Linked DNA regions of Caenorhabditis elegans. The protein of the gene in region 2 binds, or shares a complex with, the protein of the main gene of each other region. Each region holds a gene or a part of one and is shown on either strand. Other genes may lie near its edges.

Region 1 (3,600 bases), on a different chromosome or scaffold from region 2:
TGTCAAACGGCACCACCACAAGTGGTTGCCCTCGCCCGTGTGCTAATTCGCATTTTGTCTTGTTAATCACGCAATAGTGATAACAATCGCTTCCGGACCATTGCTAATATAATATATTGGCTACCGCGGGCATGTCTTGGCAATAACCTTGATGTCAAGTTTTATCGTTAAAATGTGAAGCTGTATGATTGCGAAAAATTTGAAGTTTTCCCATTCAAATTGTAGGCATATTTGAAAAATTTCTGAAGATTTATATCTGTCGTAAGTGGAACGGTTTATTTGGTTTCTTGGGTCTCGTCGCGAAAAGCTTTCACTATGGTTTGAAGCACGACTGGGCGACAATCGAAGTCGAAGTTCGGCAATTCGATAATTCGGCAATTATCGAGTTCAAGATTTTCGAAAGAAAAACTCAAAAAATAATTTTGAAATCTATTTATTAGTTCTGGACACGCGGAGTCAGAAAGTCCCATTTCGCTTTGATCTACGAAAAATGCGGGAGTTGAGACGCAGACATCTCAACTGATTTCGCATGGTTAAGAGTGTGCTGACGTCACAATTGTTCTGGAAAAAAATTCCCGCATTTTTTGTAGATCAAACCGTAATGGGATAGCCTGGACGTAGAACTCGCCAAATCGTAGATATATGCATAATGAAAACTCTAGAGTTAACTCTGCCACCCTCATAAAGTGAGTTAGAAACATTTCTGCTCTGAGGAACTATAGAACCCCCTTTCAAGTCGATCGTCAGCAAATTCTAGAAAGATCTGACAGTGGCCGATTTTTTAATGTTTCTAGGCCACGTAAAAAAGCTGATGTCTTGTTACTTTTCAATTCGAAAATCCCTTTTTTTAATTTTTCGGCAGCACCCGGTCCGAGCCAACATCTTCCTAAACACTTCAAAACCCCGCCCCCTTCTGCCCTCCCGGGTGTCTCCGTGTTGTTCAGGGTGTTGTCCACCCCCTAGACACCCAACTGACCATTCACCCGTCTCCTCCTCCCCCTCTACAACAACCACCACCACCTGATCCATTCCATTATAATGATATTCCGCATACTTGTCATACAGAGAATACCCGGTTTGCTGCTGCCAAACGGTTTTCATTTATTCCATTTCTCACTCCTTGATTGTTGTCAATTCTTCGATTCGATGCGGCAAAACTAGCGCCAGTGGGGAAATTGCTTTAATAGTAAACAATTTTTTTTTAAATTTCCTATATTTTTTGTATAAGATTTTCTTTTTTAATTGCAAATCCCATGGGAAAGTCTCAAATTGCATAAAATTCCAATTTGAATTCCCTCCAAGATTTCAATGTTCGATGGAGCGCACTTGAATTATTATAATTTTTATCAATGAATTTTTTTATCATCTCTGACTGATTTTTCACGATTTTTTGTGTAGTTTTAGAGGAAATTTACTGAAAAATCCAAGTTAAATGTAAATTTCCGATTTTTATACAATTTTTGGACTACTTTCCCCGCCGCCACCGCTAAAAATCCCAATTTCCTGCAAGTTTTCACCTGCTCTGACTCATTTCCGCGAGCGCGCGCGCTCGTACTTTTTATCTTTTACTATTTATTTATCTCCTCCAAAAAAAAATCCCGTTAATTTTTTTTCCCTTACAATTTCTCATAATTTACTCATTTAGTTTGGCTTAAAAAATGCTAAATTAAATTTTTTTTTCATTTCCAGATCACATGACACAACGAAAATGAGGAGAAAAATGAAGTTATTCCTATTTTTATTATTAGTAATTAATATATGTCGGTCGGCCGCTGCTAACGGTGACGAATGCCCGAAATTGTGAGTTTTTCGCTTAAAAATCAGATTTTTTTCGAATTTACTGTGAAAAAGCGGGGGTTTTGCCTGAATTTTCACTTAAAACTGCTTTTTTTTGCTAAAATCCCGAATTTTTCAGAGAAAAATAATTCAAACTCCATTTTTCAGCTGTAAATGTGCTCCGGATCCGGTGCAGCCGACGTCTAAACTCCTATTATGCGACTATTCTTCGAAAAACACGACAATTACACCTATTGCGTCGTCGAATTATGATCAGGTTGCTAATATTCGGTGAGGTTTTTTGATTTTTGAATGAAAAATTTGAGAAATTTTTAAAAATGGGAAAAAATGTGATTTTTAAATCAAGATATCGGAAAATACGAAAAAATTTCCAAGAAAATGGTGGTTTTTATCGAAAAAATGTTAAAAATGCATAGAAAATTTGGATTTTCGAGTTCGAAATTTTCTGAAAACAAAAAAAAAAGTTTTTTTTTACACTAAAACATTAAAATTGGATTTTTTTTTCCGAAAAACATAATTTTTCAATTTCTAACAGTAAAAAGCTCACAAAATTCCTTGAAAATTGACAAATTTAGTATTTTTTACACGAAAAATGCATTAAAATTGAATTTTTAAAACAATTTAAACTTAAAATAAAATTTTCATTTATTCTACACGGTAAATGTATTAAAATAATTAAAACTTCGAAATTTTAAATTAGAAAAAATCAAATTTCCTCCTTATTCTCAATTTTTTTTTACAGCAAAATTTCAGTTGAATTTTCCCATAATTTTGAATTAAAAATGTGTTTTATTCCAAAAAAAAACTATTTTACAACAAAAAACTAGATTTTTTCCCAATTTTCTATGAAAAATTTAATTTACCAATAACTTATTTTCTTTTTCCAGATCACTATTCATATCTTGTGATAATAATAATTTCCAATTTCCGGATGCCTACTTCAAGTCGTTAACCGCGTTGCATCATCTGCGGATAGTGGTGAGTTTATTATATTATCAGCTGTTCTCTACAGAACATCTGCTTTTTGCGTGTAAATTTAGAGGTCAATTTTCGGAAAAATTGGAAAAATTGGCCTAAATCTCAATTTGAAGTAGATTTTCACGTGTTCAAAAATGTTCAAAAAATTCAATCAAAAATTCGATTTTTGGAATACTTCAAAAAAATTTAATTTTCTTCGAGAAAACCGGTAAATTACAAAAAAAATTCGTTGGCGATTTTTTTCTGTAGTTTTCCAGAAAAACAAACGAAAATTTTAATTTTTAATTTTTAAATTTTCCAAAAAAAATTTTTAAAAATTCATAAATATGTCCATTTTAATTTTAAAAATATCGGAAAATATTCAAAAAATGAACTTTTCTATCGAAAATTTAACAAGAAAAAATTACGAAAAGTTCATTCAAAAAATTAAAATTCTTCTATATCTGAGGAAGGCTAACAGTAATTTTTTCCCATTTTTTGACTCTTTGAGCAAATAACCGTATCACTAATTACCTTAACCATCAAAAAAGAAAGGTGTGCCTGTCTTCTATTCATCCTCCTCTCGACACCAAATTCTTAAGAAGAGCCCCCCACTCGGATGTCTCTAATTAGGCACAAATGTTACGTCATTTTGTCATTTGTACGGCCACAGATGACCTCCGGTGTGCTTGGAGGACTGCGAGAGAGGAGGATTAAGGGGATTTTTATGTCCTACAATTGATTTTTTTAGGTCAAAAGTAGGGATTTTAAGGCCAAAAATAGAGATTTTTTAGGTCAAAAGTAGGGATTTTAAAGCAAAAAAAAAAAATTTTCGGCCAAAACAGT
Region 2 (6,905 bases):
GTAATGCAATTAGCATAGCTTCACACTCAGAGAAGAGAGTCTCTTCCGAGATGACATCTACACTTTTGCGAGCACCGATTAATAATACGGCCCGTTGCGGTTGTTGCTAGTTTTTCTCATTTTTCTCATTGTCATTTTCCTCTAGAAACTTTATTCCTTTTCTCATTCTCTCGCCGACGTTCACCTTGGCCAAACCTTTTCTCCTTTTTTCGTTTTTCCTCTTTTTGTTGAGCATGTAGTTCCGAAATTGAATTTCCGCGGCTTTAAAATGGCACCAAAGATGTCGATTTATCATCTGAACTACTTCCTCTCTTGTTCCCTTTATTCGGTTTCCTCGGAAGCGCTGGCTCCCGGAGCTTTGAGCATTCTTTGAGGCACAATGCAAAAATAGTCTAATCAGAGAGCCAAAGAACCCATCTGAAAGAAAAATGAAGAAACGGATGGAAATCGTAAAAGAGTAGTAAACTGGCATGATGGAAAGAGAGAAGAGCATGAATAATTTCCGAGCTCAGTTCCGAACACCTTCCATTTCTTATTTCCTGCCATACTGAAGGCGTGAGAACCTATTCATCAAGTTTTGATTTTAATTTTAGAAATTCTCAACGCTATATATAGTTGATCCATTTACTGAAATAAGTATATTACTTTTTATCCTCGACACTTTTTGATTTATAGCAGCCCGTCGATTTATGGATGTTTCTCTCGTATTCCGGTTGATCGAATCTCTACCGAGTGACGAGTTTAGGAGCTTCCGGTACCCATCCATCCGTCTTATCGCCTATTTTCCCTAATCTGATGTGCATTTTTTGGTGTAGAGACTAAAAAAGAGTCACTTTTCCAAAAAAGCAAAACTGGCAGTAGTTCTCTTCTTGTTTACCAACTCATAAGCCCATTGCAGTCCCTGTTTTTTTCGGGTTCAGTGCCCTTCACAACTAAACGACTTAGCATGGACTTCTATACATCTCTCAACATATTAAAGTCGTATCTATTGCAAACATTATACTTTCATACATAATCCTAGTTTTCCCTCATTCTTGTTCTTGAAAGTGCACAAACAGTAAATTCATATCTGATGAAATGTGACTTCAAGTAGCCAACCCTTTCCAAGCCAATGAATTCAGCACACGAGATCGTTAAAATCTTGGCTAACCGCGTTTCCTGCTCTGGCGGCCTCCATGGCTCCACTCGAAAGCTCACCTTGTTTGCATCCGGAAAATTGTCGTAAAACATGGCTTCGCTCCCATTCTCTTTTGCCATGTTCAAGTAAAGGTGGTCAGTTTTTATTCTTACGGCTGAATGGCGTGCCTTTTTTACCTTCACAAGTTGGCCGCTATTGGAAATCCCACGGTTGACTATTGCCTTTTCCCGTCCGTTGGTGGTATTTTGAATTGGCAGAAAAATTAGAACTTTTGAATTTTATGTTTATCAATCATTTTCTCTGATCACTTTGAGTTGGCTAGACACCTGTTGAAGCGCAAAAACGAGCAGACAAGTGATTTACGCGTTTGTTATAATGCCAAGTTGTAAAGTATTCCGATAAGAGTACATTCGTCTTTTGAACACTTTTTATAAACATTTTTTCTATTTCTGACTCATATTGCCATGTGAAATACTGATTTTCTTGTTGTTGTGTTTTGTACAAGTTCCACAAAAATTGTAAGAATTTATATATATATATTCCAAAAACAAAGTTCCATATATTTTTCAGATTATTTAGGAAAAAACTTATGTTAAAAAATATACCTCATTCTAATAGAACATTTTCGAACCTTTCTCAGCATTTTTATAAAATCTAATGCAACTCATTTTTCTGTTCAAAATCCGAATAAGTGGTAATCTAAAAAAATTGATTAATCTTTTCTCATTTTTATTGCCTCAATATTATGCCAATTTTCATAATTATTAGGCATTTTTATAACCGGAAGTGAGATCATAAGAATATTATCTACGTTCTAGTGTCCTTCTGTTTCCCAAGTGTCATAACAGTCTTGCTCTTCGGTCCGTCTATAACTCTTTCAGAATATCGGTTTCCCAGTCAATTTGGCAACAGACGGTAATCATCATTCATTTCCGTCAGTCTATAATACCTCTAGACATTTTACGATGTCTAAGTAGCAGACTCCTATCGATTCTCTCGAAATGCAGCTCTATTGTTGTACCAAAAAAGAGATCTGCCACTAATTTGAGCAAAGATCGTATCTTCCGATAACCTTTCCTAATCGCGGTCATTCGACGCCATAATTGTTCTTCACCTCGTATTCTCCCACTATCATCCCACCCGACACCACAATTGTCTCTATGGTGAGAGCCCGAGATTCGAAGGCGATATGAGTGTCAATTTATCTTGCTGATCCCCCTCTCGTCGTGTTTTACAACCAGATTGGCTGTGTCAAATCTGCAACGAATCTAATTCATTAGTCTTACTGTCATAGTGGTCTTTGTTTTATTGTTGTTGTTGTCCATTAGTAGTGCGAAAAAACCATTTTAATTAATTTATTCTTCCACAATTAATAATTACAGTCATACTAGGAAAACATTTTAAATCTATAATTCTAGACCTCTCGTTACGTTTTATTTGAAATTTTCCATTATTTAATTTTTGCTACTAAACCATGTTCCTAGTGACAGCTGAATGCCTTTAAATGTCCATTTCCATAAGCAAATACAGTTATCATCTTTGTTTTGTCTCTTCCTTTCTATTTCTCTTCTACTCCTGCGTTTGGTGCCCTTTATATTTCCAACTGCACTCAATTTCCTCTGTTCTGTAGCGGCTTGATCGTGGTAGAAGAACAAAAACTGTAAAATCGGTGAATCATTCCGATTTATTTTCAATTTTTGTGTGTTATTTCGAAAGGATGGAATTTTTAGATTTTTTCCCTACTATCAGCTTTTAGCACAGTCACGAGATATCGTAGATGCTTGTGATTCATCACTTTTCATCTATTAAATTCATTTTCGTTCAAAATGTTGTTTATTTCAATCGAAAAATAGCTTTATTTTGAGATTTATCGTAATTTTACAAGATGCCTTCTTAAAGGCGCACGGTCCAAAAGTCTGTTTCTGTGAACTTCGCAGAAAAATTAGTACTTCTTTCTTTTCCTATTCTTTTTTCTAAGTAAATTTTCTCTAAGTTAATCTCCATTAATCTAAATTTCATTTTCCCATGACACCAAGATTTCCCTGGAGCTCAATTTCCATGTTCATGATACCTTGTTACAGTTCGGATTCCCACGTCATTAGATCCCAGATGGTTGCCCACGTGCCGATGGGTTTGCCTCTTCCCAAAGCACCGCCTACTTCTCAGCTGCCCCTCCTCCTTTCGGTTGTCCGCCCGTCGTTCTCGTTCTCTCCGCCAATCTTTCCCTACTCTCCTCTATGCTTTCTCTAGTTTTGCCTTCTTACCGTTCTACTTTTGTTACAGAACTTTTTTTATTGTTAAAAAGTTTAATATAATTGCTCTATTTTTCCAACTTTTCTTCTTTGCAGGAAACTCTTACACTCGACGAACAAAATAGTATGCACTGATGCGACGTAACAAAACGACTTATTCGTTGCTCCAAACGATTCTGGTAGCTTGTCTACTGACTGTTACTCCAACTTTCGCCAGCAACAAGCCGACAACGGATGAAAGTGGTGAGTATTTTGATTTTAAAATTTTCAAAATGACCGGATCTTTGTTCTTAAATGAATTAGAAAAAAATTCAAAAAATTACTAAGCTATCATAGTTCTTATAAAAGTGAAAACGCCATAGGAACACTTCTTCTTCTATTCTAATGCTGCAGTTTTCCCCCTCAATTCCACACTTGAGATCATTGCCGATTAGTTAACGATGCGCCTAGTTAACGATGCTTATTCTCTTGTTTCCGACTTGAAAGATCATGTCATTTTCTTAATTATGCATCGCCGACACGTCTCCCGGGGGACGGAAACATCCTGGTCCTTGGTCCAAAATCGAGCCGACTTCCTGTATGTGTCCCAGTTCGCCAACACCACTACCTCCATCCCACAAAAGTGTTAATCGTGCAGTTGTCGGTTGGGGGTCTGGTGAGCGGTGAGCATAGCCTTTGTTGCGTAATGTTATCTTACCGGTCCGGAAGTGCACATTTCTGTGTGGACCTCCTGGTGAGCACCGCCATATTAATAGTTGTCCTAGAACACCACTCGTCATTGATCGAACTTATCAGTCTAGGAAATGGAAACTGCAAAATATTTATTTGTTTGGATGAGCGTGCCTCCTCCTTCTCGAGATGTATATATTTCCAGCCTAGATGGGATTAAGAAAAGGTGTCGAGAGGGAAAGAGGGTGGCAGGCATCATTCCTACGTTTTTGAGAGTTTCCCTCAAATTCTCTTCCGAAATGGAAGTTTCTTTCCGCTTGACGGTTTTTGGGGTTTGTTTGCATTTGGGACGAACCTAGAATTGAATAAATGTAAAGCGCTTGCAACTCCTACTTTTTCACTTGAATTGTTGTTTATATGAAAGTCATTGTCCTCATCAACTGCTAGGTACGGGTCGGATTAAGGTGTTATTTGGGTGGAAAAGGCACCTGTGGATGATTTCCACTACCACCTGCCCTTGTTATCGTTCGCCAAATGATCGTTAGCCCCCCGCTTCTGCTTGCTTATCCAGGAATACGGACATTTTTGGAGGGTATATATGACATTGTTGCAGCCATAATTTTGTGAGGATGCACAACAAATTAGACGTACACAATACCCCGCATTGTTCCAAATCTCGCGCATTTGGTTTCGATGGCATGGTGGTTGTGTCCTCGAATTAATTTGTTCTGCTAACGAACTCATCAATTAGAAACTAATATATTGGAAAATCATTCACATTTCTATGACAACTGTCTCAAAGTTTTTTTTCTCGAGTGCATCCACTTCAAACTGTTTTGTCGGCGTTGTCACAACATGGAAACTCGAATAATAGTAGTGGTAGTAATATAACTGATTGATATGCTTACTAATCTCATTGGTACATAAAAAACTTTTTCGAGTTTTGATCTTGCCGACAGACTACTCATCTGCCCAGCAGTTTCCGAGTGGTGATCACCGATACTTTTAGTAAACATACTGAAGATGGCTCCTTCCTGCTGATGCTTCTTGCTAGTCACCCAAATTGAGTCAATTAGAGGGGCAAGTAAAGGAAAGATAGTGGAGGGCAAGAAAGACAGCTTGCACGAAAACAGACGTATCTACAATTAGATGCTGCCGCCGATTTTGGTGATGCACTTTTTAGCAGAAGTAAAACAACACATGGTAGTCATTTTCACAGTAGGAGGTGTCGAAAGTAGGCATATGTCGGTTTCGCGGATTAGCACTCTGATGGATGCGGTGGCGACAGAAACATTGAGTTGCACAATCGTCAGGCGGTCAGGGCTGTGTTTATCTATATATGAAAAAGGTCCGAGATTCTTATCTGTCATCTCTTCCCTTTTTGGCGGGTGTGTGTGCATCCATTCGCATCCGAGATTGAATTGATAGACAAGTAAGTAATATGCTGTGAACAGGCAGGCGTCAATTGTCATATTCGAAACAATAAGAGCATAAAACGAGCGGCTCACTTGCCTTCTTTCTTTTAGGTTTTTTGTGTCTGGCGGCATTATATCTTTAGAGCTATAATCTATCATTCATTTATTTTTTGAATGTGAACGGTCATAAAAGGTGACCCATAGCTCAATTATTCATTTGTTCATGATCCTCTCCCGACGGCACATGTAATCTGAATCCGGCGTTTTAGGGCCAAAGAAACTCAATCCGCGGCTCTCGTTGTTTGCTTTTACTGGTTTCTCGCGCACATGCGACGAATTCCCACAAGTTTCGATGTGTCGTTTTCGTTGATGGCTCCTAGTAGAACACAATTTATTGAATAAAGAGGCGCCCGGTGATGATGGAAAAGTTGTTGAAGAGCCACTTATGACTGGTAAAGAGGGGAGCACATCTCTGAATAAGACACACACACACACACACACACGTAATTCGTAATTGGTATGCCAGTGTCATCGTCAGCTTCTAAACGAATTAGTTGAGACTAAGAGCCTAACAATCGTTTACTGCCGGATATTTTCCACAAAACAGTTATCCTAACGGGCCTAACATTTTCTCTTCCGTTAACCAGGTGAATCGGTGTACGATTACGGTTTTGATGGCGTAATGTTGCCCTGATCGGACAGAGGCTACTCGTCGCAATGGAGAGCCTGTTGTTATACTGTTCACATAGATAGTATGAGAAATTAGGAGACGCTGACTGAAACGTGAGCACGCGCTGCGCAACAGCAGACGGGGGAGACGAAAATGAAGAAGAACGGTATGCATATGAATGAATGAATGAAACAAACATAAGAAAATTATTATTATGCAAGTCATGTCGAGAAGGAAGCTCCTCGCGGAAATTGAAAAAAAATTTTGAGGGCAATTTGAATATAAATATTAAATTTCAGGAACCATCTCACACACAATATGTGATGGTGAAGCTGCTGAACTGAGTTGTCCTGCTGGAAAAGTAATCTCGATTGTCCTAGGAAACTATGGAAGATTCTCTGTCGCTGTTTGCCTTCCTGACAATGACATCGTTCCATCCAACATCAACTGCCAAAACCACAAGACAAAGTCAATTCTGGAGAAGAAGTAAGTTTTAAAATTTCAAAGGCTACTTTACTATTACTATTCTGGGGACTTGTGGGGGGCACCCTATGCTTTGACCTAACTAACATATTCAACGAGTTATGAATAGGTGCAAGCCGCATTTGTAATAGCTTACTCACACACCTTTTCGCGACTATCAATTGTTGTATTTGTCGGACTTTGGAATACGTTGAACATGTTTGAAGAGCTGACCGACACATAAATACACGTATAGTTTTATGTCCCAGTGCCATTGTTCAGTCTTATCAGTTGAAGCG

What was found.
Region 1: the proteins of lat-1 (region 2) and tol-1 are in contact, whole or in part, in a crystal structure (PDB 8SUF), measured with the Caenorhabditis elegans proteins. Residues at the interface, in NP_001366731.1 of Caenorhabditis elegans: Thr42, Leu63, Gly64, Asn65, Phe69, Ser70, Val71, Leu75, Asp79, Val81, Ile85, Asn86, Gln88, Tyr126, Glu128, Lys130; in NP_001020983.1 of Caenorhabditis elegans: Ile709, Cys710, Gln712, Tyr713, Gly714, Asn715, Cys716, Asp717, Val760, His778, Ile781, Gly782, Lys802, His805, Thr806.

What each region holds. Positions count from the first base shown.
Region 1 is NC_003279.8:442,310-445,909, forward strand, and holds the start of tol-1 (TIR domain-containing protein), read left to right. Parts: upstream 1-1,693; 5' UTR 1,694-1,708; coding exon 1,709-1,800; intron 1,801-1,944; coding exon 1,945-2,067; intron 2,068-2,684; coding exon 2,685-2,775; intron 2,776-3,600.
Region 2 is NC_003280.10:8,893,355-8,900,259, forward strand, and holds the start of lat-1 (Latrophilin-like protein 1), read left to right. Parts: upstream 1-3,486; 5' UTR 3,487-3,524; coding exon 3,525-3,633; intron 3,634-6,240; exon of another isoform or gene 6,241-6,390; intron 6,391-6,443; coding exon 6,444-6,630; intron 6,631-6,905. UniProt on the Caenorhabditis elegans protein: Has a role in the establishment of anterior-posterior polarity in tissues during embryogenesis. Required for the alignment of the mitotic spindles and division planes. May have a role in cell death events.